6 linked regions of the Macaca fascicularis genome follow. The main gene of each other region encodes a partner of the protein of the gene in region 2 in a complex. Links are inferred from orthologs where the notes say so. Each region holds a gene or a part of one and is shown on either strand. Other genes may lie near its edges.

Region 1 (4,116 bases), on a different chromosome or scaffold from region 2:
AAAAAAAGCACGTCGAATGTACCAGATATTCACTACAGCATTATTTAAAACAGGGAAAAAAGAAACAATCAGGGAAATACTTAAATCATGATACAGCCACTGGAGAACTATGCAGTCTTTGATGCCGTAACAGAGAAATGTTATTTGAAAAAGCAGGATACAGGCCAGGCGCAGTGGCTGACGCCTGTAACCCCAGCACATTGGGAGGCCGAGGCGGGTGGCATCACTCGAGCTCAGGAGTTCAAGACCAGTGTGAGCAACACAGTGAAATCCCGTCTCTACCAAAAATACAAAAAAAAAAAAAAAAGAAAAAAGAAAAAGAAAAAGAAAAAAGAAAAAAAAAATTAGCCGGGCGTGGTGGCATGTATTTAGAGTCCCAGCTACTTGGGAGGCTGAGGTGGGAGCATGGCTTGAGGCTGGGAGGCAGAGGTTGCAGTATGCAGAAACCTCGCCTCAAAAAAAGAAAAGAAAAAGGATACGAAATTGTGATACAACTCTGTGAAGACTACTAGACACATTACAAAATTTTTAATAGTAGTACTCTACGTGGCATTCTGGTAGAAACGATTTCCTTTCCTCAAACTCCCCGTAATAATGTTTTTATACGGTCTGGGGGGATGGGAGATAACATTAAACGACACTTTTTATATCACAAACGCTGGAGTCAATAAAAGTTCTTTAAATTCCTCCAGCAGTAGAGCAAACTTGGTATTCCGATTCTGTCCAGGCTTTGACCAAGAGCGCACCCGAGGGCCACCGCCTTCGTGATCCCAAGCGGGTGTGACTGGGCACCAGTTGGTCCACTGCGGCTGTTCCAACGCTGCCCTCACAGCCTCACCCCAGGACTCCACCAGGAGCACAGGGAAGGGGTCCCCGAGAGTGGGCGAGGTCGCTGCCCGGAGGTAGTGACCACTCCAAGGTCACCATGGAGAACCCGCAGACAGGGCTCGGCACGGCCCAAGACTCCCCGACTCTAAGTCCAGGTCTCGCTCTCTGTGCCGCGCCCCTCGTCCCATCCCGAGCAGCTACCCCCAAGCTCCCAGGGGCTCCGCCGAGGCGAAGCCTCACATTGCGGCTTGGCGGCCGACAAGACCCGCGACCCTGATCTCGGCACCTCCACGCCACCGCCCGGGGGCCAAGACCCCCGAGCACCGCCACATAGCGTAGCCCAGACCGGTTCCCTCATCCTTTTTCGCCCTCTCAACCCAGCTTTTCCCGACTCCGGGAAGAACCGGGAAGAGAAGGCGGAGGGGAGCGAAGCGCCGCCTGATAAATACTGTGGCCCAGTCCCGCCCCCGAAACGTCACATCCGGCCCGTGCCAAGATGGCAGCGCCCAGGCGGTGCCACGCAGACTTCCGCCCGGTGCGGAGACCTAAAGCTGGCAGCGGGTCGCGTCGCAGGTGAAGTGGTGACGCGCGGTGTGGAGCCGCGGCCCGGGTGCGTCCCTGCCTGGTTCCTGGGCGGGGTTCCTGGAGAGAGGGCGTGTCGCGAGCCAAAGGCTCTCACCTGGGTGGTCCCGGGAATCTCGCCACGTGGGAGGGGAGGAGCTGAGAGGCCACTGGAGGGACGCACCGACTGGGGGACCGGAAAGCAAGGGGGTTGGGTTCCGCCAGGGTCCGCGTGTCAGTCCACTCTGGTAATCTCGTCCCCCCTTCTCTCCCAGGCAACATGTCGGAAGGAAACGCCGCCGGCGAGCCCAGCACTCCGGGAGGGCCCCGACCCCTCCTGACTGGGGCCCGGGGGCTCATCGGGCGGCGGCCGGCGCCTCCCCTCACCCCCGGCCGCCTTCCCTCCATCCGTTCCAGGGACCTCACCCTCGGGGGAGTCAAGAAGGTATCCAACGGCGCGTTTCTAAAGAAACTCAACTACCTTGAATTCCAAGCCCCGGCATTCAACTGATGTTTGTGTAGGGCCTACTATGTGTCAGGAGTGTCGTTGGGCCTCAAGCCTACCCCTCTTTAAATTCTAGGGAGCCTGTCCTATCTTCAAATCTAGGTACTGAGTACAAAATGTTGAAATGAGTCCCAGAGGTGGTTGAAAGACAGAGAATCCTAATAAGTTAAAGTCGTTCAAAAGTAATTTGAACAGTGTTTATTTACTCTTATTGTGTGTTTGGACATTTTTAAGAAACCCATGAAAGCCAGGCAGGCATAAACTTCACAGTCTTAGAGCGTTCAGAATTCACCATCTCAGTGTGCAAACTTGTTATCTAGAGTATCATGAATCCTAGGCATGGCATTCGAGGCTCTGTGGGCTGTCCCATGTGTATATGACTGTGGATGTCAAGAGTAGCCCAGAAAGGGGTGGTGTCAGGATGACAGAAGAATAAAGCAGGTTTTTGGGTTTTTTTTTTGAGACGAAGTCTCGCCCTAGTCCCCCAAACTGGAGTGTAATGGCATGATCTTGGCTCACTGCAACCTCTGCCTCCCGGGTTTGAGTGATTCTCCTGCCTCAGCCTCCTGAGTAGCTGGGATTACAGGTGCCCGCCACCATGTCCAGCTGATTTTTGTATTTTTAGTAGACACAAGGTTTCACCATGTTGGCCAGGCTGTTCTTGAACCCCTGACCTTGTGATCCACCCACCTCGGCCTCCCAAAGTGCTGGGATTACAGGCGTGAGCCACCGCTCCCGGCCAAATAAAGCAGTTTTTTTTGTTTGTTTGTTTTGTTTTTAACAGAGTCTCTTTCTGTCGCCCAGGCTGTAGCACAGAGGCACCATCTCAGCTCACTGCAACCTCCACCTCCTGGGGTTCAAGCGATTCTCCTCCCTCAGCCTCCCGAGTAGCTGGGATTACAGAGGCCTGCCACCGCACCTGGCTAATTTTTGTAGTTTTTAGTAGAGACGGGGTTTCACCATCTTGGCCAGGCTGATCTTGAACTCCTGACCTCATGATCCACCTGCCTTGGCCTCCCAAAGTGCTGCGATTACAGGCGTGAGCCACCACGCCTGGACATAAAGCAGTCTTTAGAAACCTAACTTTGCCTTGGAAAATATGGAAAAACACTGCCAACAGTGATTGAGAGTATTGGCAGATCTGTGGCCTTCCCTACTTAGGCCTTGCTGCTAGAGATGTTCCCCCATGATACTGACTGGTCTCTATAGCAGTTTGAAGATAAGAGGTGAGACCAGAGAAATTCCTTTGCTTTTAGAAGTCCCAGAGGACCTTCTTTCAGGATCTTCTTTCCTAAGGCTGCTGGTTAAAAATGGTTTTTGGTGCCCCTTTCTTCTATGCATAACTCCACTGCCACCACACCATGACGTTCCTCCTTTTCAGGCACACGTGTATCTAGAAAACTGACAGCACTGTGGAATGTGCCAAAGAGAGTCATGGTGGCCGTGGTCTGTAGAAGATGCCCGTTGGGAGTTTTTATTTTCCTCTGTACTTTGGGATCAGGACCTAACACATCAGTGACTCCTGTATTTTGCTTTCAGAAAACCTTCACCCCAAATATCATCAGTCGGAAGATCAAGGAAGAGTAAGTAGCTAGTCCTTCTGAATACTTGCCCCTTATTTACTTGCTCTGAATTTGGGGCTTTGGGGAGAAATAAGTAGGTTTGTGGCTCCAAAATTTAAATTTATATCTTTAGTTCTTTTCACTAGTGATTTTCAACCCTGGCTCCTAGGTGATTCTAATGTTTAAGCTTTAAAAAAAAAAAATACTGGTGTCTAGGGTTCCATCTCTAGAAATTGTGATTTAACTTGTTGGCAGTAGAATGGAGTGATTCTCTTTGATGGCCCGAGTTGAGAGCCAATAGTTTAAACAAAGATGTATCACGCTTTCCCTGAAGTTCCTTTGCATTTCTGCCTTCCTGCTTTCAGTCCCAATGCAAACAAAAATCTACATTTTTGGACAAGAACGTAAAGTAAAGCAAACTGAAAAAATCCTGCCTCATCAAGGAAGTGAGAAAAGTGCTAGAATTAGGATTGGATTCTGCTTCTCATGGTGTAATTATTGGCTCAAACTCTCCGCTGTCTTGGAGTGAAGTGGTATGGGAGAGTAAGGCCAGTTTTTGGAGACACAGTGAGTGAGTGGTTTCCCTTAATCCATTCTTTTTTCCAGGCCCAAGGAAGAAGTAACTGTCAAGAAGGAGAAGCGTGAAAGGGACAGAGACCG
Region 2 (3,500 bases):
CTGTCCTAGTCTGGGCTGTGTGCTTGCTGTGTCCAGCAGGGTCAGGTGGAGTTGGGGATGGTCCCTGGCCTGGTGGTCCCAAGACTCTAGGATTGGGGGCTGCAGTGGGAATGGGAGGCGGTTTGATGGTAGGCCTAGGTCTTCAGGGGACTTGGTGACTCCCTTGAGCCAAACTGGGTAGGTTTCTAGAGTTGGGTCCAAGCCCTTCTTCCTCCGCCAGGTGAGCTCCACCTGACACCTTTACATGGCATCCTGCAGCTGCGGCCCAGCTTCTCCTACCTGGATAAGGCTGACGCCAAGCACCGGGAGAGGGAGGCAGCCAACGAGGGTGAGCCCGGGATCCTCAGCCCTGCTGCCTGTCCGCCTTCATCCTAGTGGGATGGCTTGGTCCTGGCAAGAGGGATGCGATGATAGGATGTTTAGCAGGATCCTTGGTCTCTACCTACTAGATGCCAGAAGCACCCACCCCACAGTCATGACAATCAAAAATGTCACATTGCCCAGTATCCCCGGGGTAAAGGGGCAAAACTATCCCCAACTGAGAACCACTGGCTTAGGCAGCTCCCTCTGCGAGGAGAATTCCCGGCACCCTGGCCTCCTGAGGCTTCCCTGGTGGGTGGGGTTGAGAGAAGGGAGGTGGAGGCTCCCCAGGACTGCAGTCAGTGGCTTGTCTCTCTTGCAGCAGGGGACTCTTCACAGGATGAGGCGGAAGACGATGTTAAGCAGATCACGGTGAGCCCTGGCCCCTGGAGGAGGAGGGTTCTGCCTGGGCAGCAGCAGGACCACAGACCCAAGGGGTAGTGGGTCTTCGCAGAAAGCAGGTGGAACAAACAGGGTCCGTGCTTTTGAGCCTTCTTGCTGGGCTACCTGGAGGGAACAACCTGACTTGTCCCAACTGTACACAAGACGGAAGCCCTGGCTGGATCCAGGAGATGGGTGCCTGGGGCTTGGCTGGAATCACCTGGGAGCAGGAAGCTGGGGCCAGGGGCCCCGAGAACCCGCAGACCAGCTCTGCCATGAAACCCGTATCTTAACAGCACCAAAGTCAATTAACTGTGATTCTATCCTCTTTCTGGGGCACAGATGAATAGTTTCTGTTTTAATAGTTACTCCTGAATTTTAAAGATTTTTCAAAGAATCTTAACCTTCCATTTATGGTTTGTAAAGTTTTCCCTATTTAAGCGTATTTAGATTAAAATGAGTAGTACCAAAACAAAACTGCTACACGTAGAATGATGATACACAGGTATGGCTAGAGAGTGGTGAGTGTTTGGACATCCTTGAGGACTGGGGAACACCGGCATACCGGACATGGAGGTGGCGCAGGGAGCTCATCCTCTTCTCTCCGTAGCTTATTAGGACCTTAGAAACTCCCGTCTGCTCTGGGGGACTTAGAAAAGGCGTCCTGGGCCTGTGTGCTTTAAGGACTCTGCCCGCTCTGATACCTGGGACTCTGTAATCCCCCTCAAGCCTCTGGGCTGGGCAGGCACGAGCAAGTATAAGCTGCTCCCTGGTGTGTGCAGGCAGCTCTGTGAGTGACACGGTTGGAACGGAATTTAAACGACCTGTGCTAGGAAAGGAAGGGAGAGTGGAAAACCCCGATACGGAGTTCTCTGGTCTCCTGGCAGGGGCTGAGATGGCAGCCCAGCAAGGGTCACAGGCTCGAGGGTATGACCTCTTCCGCTTCCCGCTGCAGGTGCGGTTCTCCCGGCCCGAGTCAGAGCAGGCCCGCCAGCGCCGTGTGCAGTCCTACGAGTTCCTGCAGAAGAAGCATGCGGAGGAGCCCTGGGTCCATCTGCATTACTATGGCCTGAGGGTGAGTGAGGGTGAGCCGGGCTTCGTGGGGCCCGGGGGGAAATACCCCGGTGCCTGGAAGCGCCATGGTGTGGCCTCCATGTCTCACCTTGAACTTAAGTCAGATTCATGAGTCATAGCCACAGAGAGAGAATCGAGTCCTGTGGACAGTTGACACTTCACTGTAGCCGAGCCACTTAGCGTGGGCCCCAGGGGAGCCAGAGAAAAAGATGTGAGTCCTTGGTTCCCTGGGTGGGGTTTGGCCCCTGGGCCTGGGCATCTTGGTGGGCTTGCAGTGGGGCTGGTGCCTGGTGACATATTTTCGCTGTAGCCCAGGCCCTAACCGCAGGCCAGACGCGGTCTCCGGTTCTGCCCTAGAGAGTCGGCCGTGTGCTGTTGCCCCAGAGTTCCCAGCATACCTGCCGGGGGGGATTTGTTTTACTATACTCGGTTTTCATCTGGTACGCTGACTTTCTTTACTTTTATTTTTATTTATTTATTTATTTATTGAGACAGTCTCATTCTGTCACCCAGGCTGGAGTGCAGTGGCTCAATCTCGGCTCACTGCAACCTCCACCTCCCGGGTTCAAGTGATTCTTCTGCCTCATCCTCCCAGGTAGCTGGGACTACAGGCACGTGCTAATTTTTTTTGTTTTTGTTTTTTTAGTAGAGACAGGGTTTTGCCATGTTGGCCAGGCTGGTCTTGAACTCCTGACTTCAAGTGATCTGCCCGCCTCAGGCTCCCTAAGTGTTGGGATTGCAGGCGTGAGCCATGACCACTTGGCCCTGGTCCTTTAGAACCTAACCCTTGAAACTATTACTGAGTGAGGGAAGCTTCCAAAGACACCATGGGCCAGGGCTCCCAATATTTTCTGGGGTAAGGAACAACTCCTGATTTCTCTGGGACCTTCTTGGAAGAGATTTGTGTTGACAGACCCTTAGACTCGGGGTCGAACTTCTGGACGCTGCTGTTTCTTCCTGTGTGACCTTGGGCATGTTACCTAACCTCTCTGAGCCTCAGTTTTCTTATTTATAAAATGAGAGTAGTAATAATAGTACCTACCTTGCCAAGTTATTTTGAAGATGAGATAGGTTAGTATATTTACAGTCAGTGGAACAGAGTCCACCTCATCCTAGATGCTCAGTGAATGTTAGCCATCATTTTGTCATTGCTGGTGGTGTGCCTGTGTTATAGACAAGGCATTGAGGCTTGAGGGCTGGGGCTGGGCTGGTCATAAGGCCAGGAAGATGAGTGGCTAAGGCCATGTCAGAGGCCTTGGGGGCTCTGCTCAGGAGGTTGGATGTGGTCCTGTGGCTGGCCATGGAGTGGAAGACAGGGGAGGCCTTGGGGGAGAGGGCCAGGCCAGGGCCATCAGCTGAGGCTCCTCTCACACCCTGCCCTCCTCCAACAGGACAGTCGCTCTGAGCATGAGCGCCAGTACCTGCTGTGCTCCGGCTCGAGCGGAGTGGAGAACACGGAGCTCGTCAAGTCACCCAGGTGGGATGGGCTGGGCCAGCATGCAAGCTGGATGCCCACCCAGGGTCCCTGAGGGTCCTTGGTGTGGATCCTCCCCGAGGACTGTGGCCCCTCCTCTAGCATGAGGGTGGAGCCCATGGTCCCCTGGAGAAGGCCAGGAGGGTGGGCCTGGAAAGAGATGGTCCCCTTTTCTGTAGGGGCTCAGGGCTGCTAGGGGAAGGCAGGGGTG
Region 3 (3,948 bases), about 21 Mb from region 2:
GTTGCAGTGAGCCAAGATCGCACCACTACACTCCAGCCTGGCGACAAATCAAGACTCAGTCTCAAATAAATAAAAAGTATCGTGCCAAAGCATATTGACGCTTGAGGCAAATGGAACTAAGTTTTTTCGTTTATCGTAGGGTTTTTTTTTTTTTTTTTTTTTTTTTTGCATCACCTTTGACTTTTAAAGCTATTACAGGCCGAGTGGGTGGCTCACACCTATAATCCCAGCTTTTTGGGAGGCTGAGGTAGGAGAATCGCCTGAGCCCAGGAGTTTGACACCAGCCTGGGCAACATAGTGGGACTCCCTCTGTACAAAAAATTTAAAAATTAGCCGGGTGTGGTGGCGCGCATCTGTGGTCCCAATTACTCCGGAGGCTGAGGTGGGAGGATGGCTTGAGCTCAGGAGGTGCAGGCTGCAGTGAGCCAAGATCGCTCCACTGCACTCCAGCCTGGGCGACAGAGCAAGACCCTGTCCCCCCAGCCCCCTAAATACAATTACATTAAAATTTCATTTAATGTCACTCACTAATGAGGGTTTTGGTTCCTCTTTAAACTTCGCGCCGCAGGCGAGTGTGCCTGGCCAAGGTAAAGACCCTTGTTTACGCCCAGAGGCGCCTTCCTCAGCCTTGGGCCGCAGCCTCCCACCAGCACCTTCAGAGGCTGCGCGCGCCCGGACGCCCGGCCCCCGGGGAACGACTCCCGCCCCCCTGGCCCCCGCCAGCACACACCTGGATCGGCAGATCGCAGAGCAGCGGGTCCTGCACCACCATAGCCAGACCCTCCTGGAACACGTCCATGGCCTCGGAGTGCGGCAGCGCCTCTTCTTCGTCCTCATCTTCCTCTTGCGCCTCGGACCCACCCGCGGCCTCCATCTCCTCCAGGGCAGCACCTCTCAGCCGGTCTCTGCCGGCACTTCCAGTACGCACTAGGGAGGCCAAGCGCGCACGCGCAGGAACTGCGGCCGGTCCCAGCGAGGCCGCCCAGCCATTGGTGCGCCGAGGGGTGGGGCGGCTGCAGTGACCAATGACAAGTGCGAGACAGCCAGCAGCAGGGCTGGGAGCGCAGAATCGCCCTGTCTATTGGTTGGTGGGCGGGGCGAGGCGGCCGCCAGGACCAATGTAAGCTCGAGGCGGGCCGCGCGTCGGCGCTGAGCGGCAGTGTGAGCTGCCGGTGGTTGGCGCCTGCGGAGTTCGAGACCATGCTGCTATTCTGCCCCGGCTGCGGGAACGGGCTGATCGTGGAGGAGGGACAACGCTGCCACCGCTTCGCCTGCAACACGTGCCCCTACGTGCACAACATCACCCGCAAGGTGGGACCCGAAGGCCGGCGCTGGGCCGCGGGCGCCTCTCGCAGGCCTTCCCCTTCCTCCGACTGCGGCGCCATCGCCGCCAGCCCCGGCGTCTGCCTCTGTCCGCTCTTTCTCGCTCCCCCTTCCGGTCTGCAGCAGATCTGTGGGCTCTTTCTGTGGGCTCCAGCACACTCAGAAAGCCCCACCGTTTCCCGCCTCCTTGGGTTCCTGCTCCCACGCTTGCGCCCTCCTCTGCGTTCACAGCAGCGGCCACGGCGATTCCCTTAAAGCTGAGGCACGTAGGTCCGTGCTGTGCGCAGAAACCTTCGGCCGTTCCCCAGCTCGTGCAGACGAAAAGCTGGAATTCTTCCAGGGCCTACCATGTTCAGACACTGACCCCCTCCCCGACTTGCTTCTCCGATTTCAAGTCCTATTGCCCTTTGCCCCATCAACACCAGCCTCCTGGACGATCTCTCATTGTGCACATGGCGCTCGCAGGGCCTTTGCACTTACTGTTACTAACTTCGCTCTTCCCCTAGATAGCCACCTTACTCATTGGTCTTGTCTTTACCGTATTTTAAATTGCAGCCCCTCCGTCCAATGTATCCTCCTTCCCTTTGTAATTGTTTCCACAGGGCTTGTTACCTTCGAATACATTACGTAATGTATCGTGTGCTTTGTTTATTAATAGTAGGACCTGGCCGGGCGCCGTGGCTCACGCCTCTAATCCCAGCACTTTCGGAGGCCAAGGCGGGTGTATCACTTGAGGTTAGGAGTTCGAGACCAGCCTGACTGACATGATGAAACCCCATCTCTACTAAAAATACAAAAATTAGCCGGGCATGGTGGCAGGCGCCTGTAATCCCAGCTATTCGGGAGACCGAGGCAGGAGAATGGCTTGAACTTGGGCGGCGGAGGTTTCAGTGAGCCAAGATCGCGCCACTGCACTCCAGCCTGGGCAACAAGAGTGAAACTCCGTTTCAAAAAAAAGAAAAAAAAAGTAGGACCTAAGGTCTAGGAGGGCAGAGGTTTTCCGTTTTGTTCCCTTCTATGTTATATTCTGAACAACTAAAATGAAACCTAGAATATAGTAGGTGTTCAGTAAGCAGATGATGCATGCTTTATTATAACTTGTTGTTTTCCTTTGATAATACATATTTTCTTTTTACTTTTTAGAATACTTTTACTTTTTTTTTTTTTTTTGAGACGGAGTCTCCCTCTGTCGCCCAGGCTGGAGTGCAGTGGCGCCATCTCGGTTCACTGCAAGCTTCGCCTCCCGTGTTCACGCCATTCTCCTGCCTCAGCCTCCCTAGTAGCTGGGACTATAGGCGCCCACCACCACGCCCGGCTAATTTTTAATATTTTTAGTAGAGACAGGGTTTCACCGTGTTAGCCAGGATGGTCTCAATCTCCTGACCTTGTGATCCGCCCGCCTCGGCCTCCCAAAGTGCTGGGATTACAGGTGTGAGCCACCACGCCTGGCCAATTTTTTTGTGTTTTTAGTGGACAGGCTTTCCCCGTGTATTAGCCAGGATGGTCTCGATCTCCTGACCTTGTGATCCGCCTGCCTTGGCCTCCCAAAGTGCTGGGATTACAGGCGTGAGCCACCGTGCCCAGCTTTTTTTTTTTTTTTTTGAGACACAGTCTGGCTTTGCTTCCCAGGCTGGAGTGCAATGGTGCAATCTCGGCTCACTGCCACCTCTGCCTCCCGGGTTCAAACAATTCTTCTGCCTTAGCTTCCTGAGTAGCTGGGATTACAGGCTCCTGCCACCACCCCCCAGCTAATTTTTGTATTTTTGGTAAAGACGGGGTTTCACCACGGTGACCAGGCTGGTCTCGAACTCCTGACCTCAGGTGATCCACTTGCCTTGGTCTCCCAAAGTGCTGGGATTACAGGCATGAGCCACGACGTCTGGCCAGAATACCTTTATTTTTAGAAGTTAGAATATGTTGGTGCTACCGCCGGGCGCGGTGGCTCACGCCTGTAATCCCAGCACTTTGGGAGGCCGAGGCGGGCGGATCACAAGGTCAGGAGATCGAGACCACGGTGAAACCCCGTCTCTACTAAAAATACAAAAAATTAGCCGGGCGCGGTGGCGGGCGCCTGTAGTCCCAGCTACTCAGGAGGCTGAGGCAGGAGAATGGCGTAAACCCAGGAGGCGGAGCTTGCAGTGAGCCGAGATCGCGCCACTGCACTCCAGCCTGGGCGACAGAGCGAGACTCCGTCTCAAAAAACAAAACAAAACAAAACAAAAAAAAGAATATGTTGGTGCTACCTCAGTCTTAATGTTTGCATGCTACTACATTTTGTACTGTGTTGTGGGAGTTTGGAGTTGGAAACTGTGGGAAGAGTGAACTCTTATATAATCCTGAAATTCGAGGTTTGGCAGCCCAGGTTTGTGCTATGCAGTTACCTGGAGTCTGAAGTGTTGTTTTTGTTAGGTAACAAATCGGAAGTACCCAAAACTGAAAGAAGTGGATGATGTGCTTGGTGGAGCAGCTGCCTGGGAGAATGTTGACTCTACTGCAGGTAAGAGGGAACACTGTTTCTGTTGCTAAACTGGATAATTATGAGGCTGTTGATGCCACTGCATGGCAGAGTCTGTGATGTCATATAAATGATGTAGGTTTCTAAAAATAGAAATGGTTTTTGAATAA
Region 4 (4,028 bases), on a different chromosome or scaffold from region 2:
TTTTTTTGTTTGTTTTTGGTTTTTTTTTTGTTTTTTTTTTTTTGTATTTTTAGTATAGACGGGGTTTCACCGTGCTAGCCAGGATGGTCTCGATTTCCTTACCTCGTGATCCGCCCGCCTCGGCTTCCCAAAGTGCTGGGATTACAGGCGTGAGCCACCGTGCCCGGCCGCCTGCTGCAGTTCTAATAATGCTGATCTGACATCTCTGCAGTTTGAGCTTTGTCACAGACTGTATTTTCAAAAGTGGGGTAACTAATTTAAGGGGTGAACTTAATGCCTCGTTGGATAGTTCCAGATCGAGGGCCAAGAATATAAACTGCAGATACTGACAGCACAGCAATAGCTCCTACAGGAGTGTAGCTGAACTTGAGACTTGCCTATAGTCGCATTTCCATTCAAGTGAAAGGCAGATAAAATAAAAATAGTTGAAAAATTATTTCTAAATAAAAAATATGTAGGAGAGGAGGTAATTCGCGAGCATCAACTAGCAGCTGCCCTTACGAAGCTGGGGTGGCCAGTGGGCCCCACGCAAAGGGAATCAAGAAAAAGGCGGATCCGCCAGGCCCAAATGGCAACGTGCAGCAATCCACAGGATCCCCAGACCCCTCAACTCTCCCAAAGTGGACCGTCCCCTCGCAACCCGGATCCGGAACCCCGTTTGGTTGTCCCCGCCCGTCAGGGGCTGCCAAGGACACCTGCATCCTTTCGGCTGGAGTAAGGAAAGCTCTTCCCCTCCTCTAGCCGCCCTCCTCTTCCTCTAACCGGGGGACCCGTGATCGGGACCCCTAATCCATCTCTGCAGTTCCCAACCCAGTCGCCGGCCTCTCACCGCCTCTTGCCTCCTCCTTCGCCGCCGCTCGGGTTACCACAGACGCTGCGAGCCGTGCCCCGCCCACTTGGAGCTGGGCAGATGATTGGCGGCAAGGCAGCTTCTTAGCAACTAGCCCCGCCCCTGCCGCCTCGCCGGGAGCCTGGAACCCGCCTTGAGCTCCTTTCCCTGGGCTTTCCCATAGGCATCTAAGAATATTCCTTTACAGAGTTGCAAAGTGCTAAAAGTTGGCTTCCCAACTCAGAATGAAGGAACCAAGCTTGTGCGTCCGATGGGCATTGACATTCTGAAAAACAAGGATAAGAAGCTGTAGCGGCGCCTGTAAGTGGACCGGAGCAGGCGCGACTTGGCCACCTCCCGCCGAAAAGCAAGGAAGGACCGCTGCGACACGAGGAAAAAAGCCCCTCGTTCTCCGCTAAGCGCTATCCTTCACTGGTTCCCAGGGTTCTCCCGCTTGCTACCCGGCCGCTCCGTGCATCTTTTCCCCAGGCGTCAGGAACTGCTCCCTCATGGCGGAGGTGAAGGTGAAGGTGCAGCCGCCCGACGCGGATCCGGTCGAAATAGAAAACAGGTAAACCAAACAGGGAAACCAGTGAGACTCCGGCTTGGGACTCCATCAGGCGGCCAGCATTTGGGCAGCCGGACCCCTTCACCCGGATCCCTCGGGAGTGGCCGGATCGGGTTGGGTGAGCACGCGGGAAAACGATTGCGAGGTTCTGGATCCACTTCTAACCTCCCATCCTGGGAGAGCAGAACTCAAGAAGTTCAAAATGGGCTTGACAGCTTGCAACTTTGTGTAGCTGACTCGCTTTGCCCTGATACTTTTGGGGAAGTTGTGATGATGCGCTGCCTTCCTACTTTGACGTGATCATTGCTTTGAGAGGAGACCCTCAGCTTTCCTTCCCTTTAGAACACTTGTGAATGCTTGTTCTGATCCAGGATCGCTCTTGTCACGAAGGGAACGTCTATGTCAAAACGTTTAGGCGGAGTTAGGGCGCAGTTGGTGATTAGGAAGCAACATTAAGTCAGGTAGTTTCAGTGCAGTATTGAACTCAAGACTTTTAGGATACCCAAAGCCTCTGCCAGTTTTATTTTTATTTGTTTATTTGTTTGTTTGTTTTTGAGACGGAGTCTCGCTCTGTTTCCAGGCTGGAGTGCAGTGGCAGGATCTCGGCTCACTGTAAGCTCCGCCTCCCTGCAACGTCCGCCTCCTGGGTTCAAGCGATTCCCCTGCCTCAGCCTCCCGAGTAGCTGGGACTACAGGCGCGCACCACCACGCCCAGCTAATTTTTTGTAGTTTAGTAGAGACGGTGTTTCACCATGTTGTCCAGGATGGTCTCGATCTCCTGACCTCGTGATCCGCCCGCCTTGGCCTTCCAAAGTGCTGGGATTACAGGCGTGAGCCACCACCGCCTTTTATATTTTTTACCGAGGCACTGCCACTCTTAGATTATCACGTACTTTTAAAAGACGTAACTTTCTCAAACTGTTAGGAATAATAATTTGTTGATGTTGACTAGGTGAAGATTTTGACCTACTTTGTTTGGTAGATATAATTCCCAAAACAGGCCCCATTTTGGTGAATTATCATAAATTTTGGCTTCCCACCAGAAACGTCTGCATTTGCCTCCTGCTTGCAGATTTATGGCTTAACTTTGTCATACTTATTACACCTGAGAAAATTGAAGTCTCAGCTTTAATATTATTTCTGTGATTTCATTAGACTTTTGCTCTAATTTAAAGTTATTAGTGAGGAAAAGAAATATTCTTCTTAAATAACAATAATACTGTAATCATGTATTTAGAAATCATCTTCTTCAGTGTCTAAAATGCTTTGATCCAAAACCATCGCAGAAACCCAGATTGTCTTCCAAATGTGAAAAAGGCACAATTTCAAACTATTTTACTTGTGTTTTTACCCCTACTGTCTCTTGAAACAGGTAACCATGAAGGATAACATTAATACCCTTGTTTCTAGGATTATAGAATTATGTCACCAGTTCCCTCATGGAATCACAGACCAAGTAATTCAGAATGAAATGCCTCATATAGAGGCCCAGCAGCGGGCAGTAGCCATCAATAGGTTGTTGTCTATGGTAAGGTGAATCTAACTATTTTGCATAATTACTGATACGCTGATTATCATTGGTTTTTATTATGTAGTTGTGATGGTTAATTTCATGTCAACTTGACTAAGATACAGGATTCCTAGATATCTAGTTAAACATTTTATTGGAGTGTCTGTGAGGGTGTTTCTGGAAGAGGTTAGCATTTTGAATTGGTGAACCCAGTAAAGTAGATGTGGGTCCAGTGTGGGTGAGCATCATCCAATCCATTCAGGGCCTAAATAGAACAAAGTGGCAGAAGAAGATTGAATTCACTCTTTGAATTCAAAGAGTGAATTCAATCTTGATCTGGGCTATGGATCTTGTGCCCTCAGCACTCCTGGTTCTCAGACCTTCAGACTTGGACTGGCATCTACACCCTGAGCTCTCTGCTCTCAGCCCTTTGATCTCCAACACTAACTTTCCTGGGTCTCCAGCTAGCAGAGGGCAGATTATGGGACTCCTCAGCCTCCATAATCACAGAGCAAATACCTTCTGAGGAATCTTTCAAGAGAGAGATGTATCCTATTGGTTCTGTTTCTCTGGAGAACCCTAATACAGCAGTCATAAAACGAGAAAGTATGTTAGGTTTGACTGATAAGACTCTAAACCAGGAAATACCTCAAACTGCCTGAATTGAAAAAAGAAACAATTATGCATTATAAGACAAATGAAATAAATGTATTATGTTATAACTGTTGTATTATTAATTGCCACTGCCGTACATAGGTCTAGTCTGTTCTCACCTTCTGTTCACTTCCTACTACTGGTGTTGGACCATTTCCTATAAAATATACCACCCCCTTCCAACCCCCGATTTTTCTATGAGTTGTCACAGAGCCCAGTCATCAGGGTTTCATTCTCCACATTGTCACTGAGCATTTCAGGAGCAAGAATGAGTCCAGTTGAATGAAGAATGCTGGGCCTTGGGGAGGAAGTGCAGCCTTAGGCCCCGGTGATATCGCAATGAAATATATCATTGAAGCTATTCTCTAACTGTCCAGAAACAAACAAACAAGCAAGACTGTCTAAAAATCCCCTAGTGGTGCCGGATGCTCTAAATGTCTCCTTACTTTCCCTCATCATTAAAACAT
Region 5 (3,500 bases), on a different chromosome or scaffold from region 2:
AATCCCAGCTCACTGCAACCTCCACCTCCCCGGTTCAAACGATTCTCCTGCCTCAGCTTCCTGAGAAGCTGGAATTACAGGCACGGGCCACCACGCCTGGCTAATCTTTGTATTTTTAATAGAGACAGGGTTTCCCCATGTTGGCCAGGTTGGTCTCAAACTCCTGACCTCAGGTGATGCGCCTGCCTCAGCCTCCCAATGTGCTAGGATTACAAGAGTAAGCCACTGTGCCTGGTCTAATTTGATGTACTTTTAAATTAGACATGTGTTTTAATAACAACCACATTCAGCTAAGTAAATCTGTACCATAGAGAAAAGATCAATTTTAAAAGCACTAAAGTATACCCTGCGTTACTATTTTTTCTAGTAAGAATGAATACTGATTAGTTCATTTGGTCTTTTTGAAATCTTTAAAATGAAAAGTTTTATTTTAGAACTCAAACAGATGAAAGCATACAACATATTCATGGAAGTTAAAAATTTCAGTATTAGGCTAGGCGCGGTGGCTCACGTCTGTCTGTAATCCCAGCACTTTGGGTGGCTGATGCGGGCAGACTACTTGAGGTCAGGAGTTCCAGACCAGCCTGGCCAACATGGTGAAACGTCTCTATTAAAAATATCAAAATTAGCTGGGCACGGTATTTCGCGTCTATAATTCCAGCTACTCAGGAGGCTGAGATGTCAGAATCACTTGAACCCAGGAGGCAGAGGTTGCAGTGAGTCGAGATTGCACCACTGCACTCCAGCCTGGGTGAGAAGAGTGAGACTCCATTCTATTACAAAAAAAACCAAAAACAATTAAGTATTTTTGAGATAAAATATCTCTTATCAAACCATTATATAACTCAAAGCAGCTATGTTTTGAGAATTAAAAGAATTTGTCTAAAATGCTTCTTATAATTATAAGCACATGCTAAGATCATTACACAAGGCTTCCTTTTTTGACTCAGCCAATTCAAACTATTCTAGAGAGAGGAAAAATGGAATGTATTTTTAATACTAATAGAATGAGATGACACTATTAATTTCTCATGTTTTAATGATGTTGTTTTGAGAACTCAAAGATGGTATCAGTCTCTCTAATTTCAACAATCAAGGGCAGAAAGTGAAAAATCAATATAGTACTGCTGTGCTAAATAGCTAAGCAGGAATCGTTTCCTTTCCTATAAAACCACTTCCCACTTCTAGTCTGAGACTGTTGAGCCCTCTCCAACTATAATGTTCCCTTTCTTCACTAAGCAGCACTAATGAACACATATTTTACATCATATCAAATACCTGAATGAAAAACCAAACAAAATCAAGTCTTAAAAATTTTTTTAACCTAAATATTAAATAATTGGAGACATGCATAAAGGTTTATGTATAATAATAATCACAGCATTATATATACAAGCAAAAAACTGGAAATAATCTTTAAAAAGCAGGAAATTAGTTACAATTAATATTATATCCACAGAGTGGACTACCAGTCATTAAAAGTCATGTTTGCCAAGAATAATAAGGATATGTGAAAATGCTAATACGCTACTGATTGAAAAAAGATACAAAGTAATATGAATCTAATTTTGTAAAGAGAATATGCATGCATAAGAAAAAATCTGGACTATATAACAAAATATTAATAGTGGTTCTCTAGACATAAGCATGGGTAATTTTTACTTTTCAAAATTTTCCTGTTTTTCATAATTTTCACTGAACATATAAAATTATTGTGAAAGCTATTTCTAAAAATAAAATATCAAAGTTTAAAGTATTTTTTCTGTTAAAGCAACATAAATATGCTTTTTCAAAGTGGTTGATAATTTTTTATTGAATAGAATCAATCAACATTCAATGATTATATATCTTGTGCTTAAACACTGTTTCATCTGTACACATTAAGACACATAATCAAAGACTCCAATACGGTACCTTGTCTTTCTTCAGGTGTTTCAATAAAATAAGGCATTCTTTTCATTGTTTCTCTCAACTCCTGTTTCAAAGCCAGCATATATTCTTCACCTTCTCCTGTTTTCAGTGGCACTGGTTTATAATCTGTATCCTGTTTAAATTAAGACACAAAGGGTTTTTTTCAAATCAATTATGTATTCTAATATCCCTTTTATCTGTATTGTAGAAAAGAGCAGTTTTATTGAAATACTGTGTTTTACAGGCACTAAGTTTTACAATCAACTTAAAAGATGAACTTCTGTAGTCTATTTAACCTGTTAACCCATTTCCTACTTTGCTCTCATATTAGAGGTAAAAAAGACGCATAATTTTCCTATTGGCCCTGAAAACTACACCAATAATCATTTTGTCATACAGTCTGTTGACCTATGTGATTATCTACTTTAAGGATTAAGATACCAGGCCAGGCGCGGTGGCTCACGCCTGTAATCCCAGCACTTTGGGAGGCCGAGGAGGCGGATCACAAGGTCAGGAGATCGAGACCATCCTGGCTAACACGGTGAAACCCCGTCTCTACTAAAAATACAAAGAAAAAAAAATTAGCCAGGTGTGGTGGTGGACACCTGTAATCCCAGCTACTCGGGAGGCTGAGGCAGGAGAATGGCGTGAACCCAGGAGGCGAAGCTTGCAGTGAGCCAAGATCGTGCCACTGCACTCCAGCCTGGGTGACAGAGCGAGAGTCCGTCTCACCAAAAAAAAAAAAAAAAAAAAAATTAACATACCAAAAAAAAAAAGAAAAAGAAAAAGAAAAACTAAGGTACCCAAATGAGGGCAGCTGCTTTAGGTCCTTATTAACCTCAACTAGTGGTGGTGTTATTGGGAAAAAATAAATAAAAAAGCAGCAGCTATAATTTAGTATATGGTTACTATGATATATTCAATATCCAATATCCATTATCTCATTGAAAGGACTACCAATATTTCTCCTTTTACAGTGAAGAAATTGAGAAGTGAATAATTTATAAGCCCATAGAATGAATAAATGGCAAGATAGAGTTTGAAGCTGCATTTCAAGTTTTTAAAATTATACACACATATACATATACACAAATATGCATTTGTATGTGTGTATATATTTACACAAATATATTCATTAACAAGGGGATCTCCAGGGTACATAGTAAAGACATTTCTGGTTTCAGAGAATAAAGATAAGGTACATTCTCAAAATTTGATTAGGAATATATACATTCATGCTGCAACTACTTATTGAGTACCCAACATGGTTAGACTATAGAAGATACCATGATAAACAAGTCAAAGTCCCTGCCCACAGGGAACTTACATTCTAGGAGAGAAACACACAACAAATTAGTAAACAAATGAGGTGACATACAATTTCACATAGTGATAAATGACATAAAAATAAACGAAGGTGGGTAAAGGCAAAGTGACTGACAGTGCAGGGAGGATGGAGGTGCAGTCTACACAGGGTGAGCACGCGTGGCCTCTTGGGGAAGTCACATTTGAGTAGAGATTGGGATAAAATCAGGGAGCTATCCATGCAAAGAGAAGAGATGGTAGGGAACCAGCAGGCCCAAAGGCCT
Region 6 (3,500 bases), on a different chromosome or scaffold from region 2:
CCTCAGTACCTACCACTGAGAATTCAGACCCTGGGCCACCACCACCTGCCCCCACACTTGTCATCAATGAAAAGGACATGTACCTGGTTCCTAAGCTGAGCTTGATAGGTAAGGAATTTTAACCCCTGGAACTGTGACTTGCCTTAATTGTGGATTCTTCTTGATTGATTATCAAATGTATGAATCAGGTGAACATTTACCTTGGTAAATCAGACTGATTTACCAATCAGTCTGAACATTTGCTATGTGTCAAACATCGTGGTGGATAACAATGAAAAAATCATGGTCTCTGTCATGGGGCTTTAGGAGACATACATTAATCAGAAAATCACATCGATATATCATTAAACGGTGATAAGTACTATGAAGGAAATATTCCTATGAAGGAACTGTCATAGTATTATGACACATACATTAATCAGAAAATCACATCGATATATAATTAAACCGTGATAAGTACCATGAAGGTAAAGTATGAGGTGTTATGAAAATATATAATGGAGGCCGGGCGCGGTGGCTCAAGCCTGTAATCCCAGCACTTTGGGAGGCCGAGACGGGTGGATCACGAGGTCAGGAGATCCAGACCATCCTGGGTAACACGGTGAAACCCCGTCTCTACTAAAAAATACAAAAATCTAGCTGGGCGAGGTGGCAGGCGCCTGTAGTCCCAGCTACTTGGGAGGCTGAGGCAGGAGAATGGCATAAACCCGGGAGGCGGAGCTTGCAGTGAGCTGAGATGCGGCCACTGCACTCCAGCCTGGGCAACAGAGTGAGACTCCATCTAAAAAAGAAAAAGAAAATATATAATGGAGACTTTGGGAGACTGAGGCAGGCGAATTGCATAAGGCCAGGAGTTCCAGACCAGCCTGGGCAACATGGTGAAACCCCATCTCTACTAAAATTACAAAAATTAGCCAGGTATGGTGGTGTACACCTGTAATCCCAGCTACTCGGGAGGCTGGGGCAGGAGAATTGCTTGAACCCAGGAGACAGAGGTTGCAGTGAGCCAAGACTGCGCCACTGCACGCCAGCCTGGGCGACAGAGTGAGACCGTCTCAGAAAAAAAGAAGAAAATATATAATGAGGGACGGGATTCATCTGGGAGTTTAGGCCTCATGTTTCTTTGAGAAGGTGACATTTGAGCTAAGATTTAAAGTGGAAGCTAACAGTGAGGTAACAGAGGAAAAGCATTTTTGGCAAAGGGAATAGTATGTAGTAAAAAAAAAAAAAAACCAGCATTTGTAGACCAGGCACGGTGGCTCATGCCTGTAATCCGAGCACTTTGGGAGGCCAGGGCGGGCGGGTCACAAGGTCAGGAGATCAAGACCATCCTGGCTAACACGTTGAAACCCTGTCTCTAAAAAAAAAAAAAATACAAAAATTAGCCGGGCATGGTGGCGGGTGCTGTAGTCCCAGCTACTCTGGAGGCTGAGGCAGGAGAATGGCATGAACCCGGGAGGCAGAGCTTGCAGTGAGCCAAGATCTGAGATCATGCCATTGCACTCCAGCTCTGTCACACTCCAGCCTGGGTAACAGAGCAAGACTCCATCTCAAAAAAAAGCATTTGAGGAAATGAGAGAGTGTCAGTATAGCTAAAGCATTGTAAGCAAAGCAAAGAGGCATGAGATAAGGTTAGAGACATAGATAGGCAGGGGTCTGATATCAGAAGCTAATCAGGATCGACCTGCTTAGTACTTGGATGGGAAACAGGCAGGGACTAAATCAAGTAAGACCTTATAGAGCATTTGTTCTTTATGCTAAGAGCAAAGGAAAACCACTAAAGGATTTTTTAGGAAATGACATGATCTAATTTATACTTTTAAAAGATTTTTTGTCTACAGAAAGGATGGGAGAATGGGGCAAAGTAAAAGTTGACAGACTGGTGGAAAATGAAACAGAGGGTGAAGGAGACAAGTATTAAGAATGTCATTTCTGTGTCTGACTTGCACATGTGGAAGAATGGTGATATCATTGGCCATGAAAGACAGTATTGGAGGAGAAAGACTATAAGCTTCTTTTTGAACATGTTGAGTTTCAGATCATTTCATCCTTTACTTGAATTTCTTATAGCTCTTCAGCCCCCTAAGCAACTCTGATCTAGAGGCAGCTATAGATGTCTTTGGAATGAAAGACACCTGCTCTCATGTTTGGTCATTTGCTGTCATACAGTCATACAGTCTAAGTGTTCAATTATTTGTTTGGCAGGAAAAGGTAAAAGGCGCAGATCATCTGATGAAGATGCTGCTGGGGAACCCAAGGCCAAGAGACCAAAACATACTACAGATAACAAGGAGGTAATGGGGCTTCTTGATTAGAAGTCCTCACCCTGAAGCAGGCCAGAAAGAGCACTCAGATAACAAGCCCCAAGAGAGCTTAAAGCTTCCTGAGCTAAGAAGCAGTAGGATTATGAACCTCATTAAATATTAGAAATAGAATGAACCATTCTATTCATTCACAAAGAATGAATCATTACTGTCTCCCTTCTGAGCCTTAATTCTTTCATTGAACAGAGATAACAGGCTATGTAAAAAGGGGCCTAGAAAAAGTTTAGATTGCTCAATATGGCAAGAACCTAAAAACAGTGGTGAAAAATGGGTCTAAAAACTATACATAGGCCTGAACTTATATTCAGTGCCTTCTTAGCATGCCTATAAAGATGTCAGTAAGCATCTCAAACTTAGTGTGGCCAAAACAGAATAATTGATTCCTCCTCTTAGTAAAAGACACTACCACCTAGGCCAGCCACCTAGGACACCACCATTTCTGCTTAGGCCAAAATCCTTGGAACTTTCTAATCTCACAGTAAAACATATCAGCCCAGTTTCCAAAATTACCTCAAATCCAACCATTTCTCATCTTTTAACTGCCGTCTCTCATCAACTCTTTCCTAACCCTTTCGTTAATGGTCTCCCTAGCTGCATTCTTACCTACTTAGTAGCCAAAATGACTTTCTAAGTTCAAAACAAAACAATACATCCACTGATTAGACTCCTTTAATAGCTTTCCTTTACTCTTAGAAGAAATCCAAGATACGGGCTAGGAAGCCTTACATGATCTAGGTCTTCGTATGATCTGTTGGAGACAGGCTTTTCAACCTCACCTCTGACCCATCTCCGTCTTGCTCACTGTGTTCCCCCTACTGACTTTCTATCTCTTAAACATGTCAAACTCTTTCTAGTCTTTAGACTTTGGCCCTTATCATGCCTCTGGCTTCAAATGTTTGTCCCCAGATCTTCATGTAGTGGTCTCTGTTTTTATCATTTCTGTCTTAAATGCTCTTTTCATAGACTTCAAGCACCATTGTCTTCTCCTACACTGGTCCCTACCACATTTCTCATTTCATATACTTCACAGCATTTATATTTATAACTGGAATTATTTATTATTTGTGTACATGTTTGTCTAAGAGGTGTGGACTTTATCCTGAAGACAAGGGAGAGCCATTGATGGATTTTAAGCAGAGAAATGAAGTAACTGGATTTATATGTTAGAAAGATTAT

What was found.
Region 1: POLR3E (region 2) and POLR3D share a complex: the UniProt entries of both Homo sapiens proteins name them as parts of the RNA polymerase III complex. The link is inferred for Macaca fascicularis from reciprocal best matches to the Homo sapiens genes POLR3E and POLR3D.
Region 3: POLR3E (region 2) and POLR3K share a complex: the UniProt entries of both Homo sapiens proteins name them as parts of the RNA polymerase III complex. The link is inferred for Macaca fascicularis from reciprocal best matches to the Homo sapiens genes POLR3E and POLR3K.
Region 4: POLR3E (region 2) and POLR3F share a complex: the UniProt entries of both Homo sapiens proteins name them as parts of the RNA polymerase III complex. The link is inferred for Macaca fascicularis from reciprocal best matches to the Homo sapiens genes POLR3E and POLR3F.
Region 5: POLR3E (region 2) and POLR3G share a complex: the UniProt entries of both Homo sapiens proteins name them as parts of the RNA polymerase III complex. The link is inferred for Macaca fascicularis from reciprocal best matches to the Homo sapiens genes POLR3E and POLR3G.
Region 6: POLR3E (region 2) and POLR3C share a complex: the UniProt entries of both Homo sapiens proteins name them as parts of the RNA polymerase III complex. The link is inferred for Macaca fascicularis from reciprocal best matches to the Homo sapiens genes POLR3E and POLR3C.

The regions. Positions count from the first base shown.
Region 1 is NC_088382.1:25,316,044-25,320,159, forward strand, and holds the start of POLR3D (DNA-directed RNA polymerase III subunit RPC4), read left to right. Parts: upstream 1-1,316; 5' UTR 1,317-1,401; exon of another isoform or gene 1,402-1,438; intron 1,439-1,664; 5' UTR 1,665-1,669; coding exon 1,670-1,834; intron 1,835-3,433; coding exon 3,434-3,477; intron 3,478-4,062; coding exon 4,063-4,116. UniProt on the Homo sapiens protein: DNA-dependent RNA polymerase catalyzes the transcription of DNA into RNA using the four ribonucleoside triphosphates as substrates.
Region 2 is NC_088394.1:21,302,143-21,305,642, forward strand, and holds part of POLR3E (DNA-directed RNA polymerase III subunit RPC5), read left to right. Parts: intron 1-220; coding exon 221-328; intron 329-682; coding exon 683-732; intron 733-1,696; coding exon 1,697-1,816; intron 1,817-3,206; coding exon 3,207-3,292; intron 3,293-3,500. UniProt on the Homo sapiens protein: DNA-dependent RNA polymerase catalyzes the transcription of DNA into RNA using the four ribonucleoside triphosphates as substrates.
Region 3 is NC_088394.1:781,872-785,819, reverse strand, and holds the start of POLR3K (DNA-directed RNA polymerase III subunit RPC10), read left to right. Parts: upstream 1-1,148; 5' UTR 1,149-1,200; coding exon 1,201-1,311; intron 1,312-3,732; coding exon 3,733-3,820; intron 3,821-3,948. Other genes in the region: SNRNP25 (U11/U12 small nuclear ribonucleoprotein 25 kDa protein), read right to left, coding at 731-874. UniProt on the Homo sapiens protein: Core component of RNA polymerase III (Pol III) which synthesizes small non-coding RNAs using the four ribonucleoside triphosphates as substrates. Can mediate Pol I proofreading of the nascent RNA transcript.
Region 4 is NC_088384.1:68,818,215-68,822,242, reverse strand, and holds the start of POLR3F (DNA-directed RNA polymerase III subunit RPC6), read left to right. Parts: upstream 1-1,228; 5' UTR 1,229-1,338; coding exon 1,339-1,400; intron 1,401-2,807; coding exon 2,808-2,925; intron 2,926-4,028. UniProt on the Homo sapiens protein: DNA-dependent RNA polymerase catalyzes the transcription of DNA into RNA using the four ribonucleoside triphosphates as substrates.
Region 5 is NC_088380.1:94,490,830-94,494,329, reverse strand, and holds part of POLR3G (DNA-directed RNA polymerase III subunit RPC7), read right to left. Parts: intron 2,045-3,500; coding exon 1,915-2,044; intron 1-1,914. UniProt on the Homo sapiens protein: DNA-dependent RNA polymerase catalyzes the transcription of DNA into RNA using the four ribonucleoside triphosphates as substrates.
Region 6 is NC_088375.1:113,586,053-113,589,552, reverse strand, and holds part of POLR3C (DNA-directed RNA polymerase III subunit RPC3), read left to right. Parts: coding exon 1-108; intron 109-2,205; coding exon 2,206-2,294; intron 2,295-3,500. UniProt on the Homo sapiens protein: DNA-dependent RNA polymerase catalyzes the transcription of DNA into RNA using the four ribonucleoside triphosphates as substrates.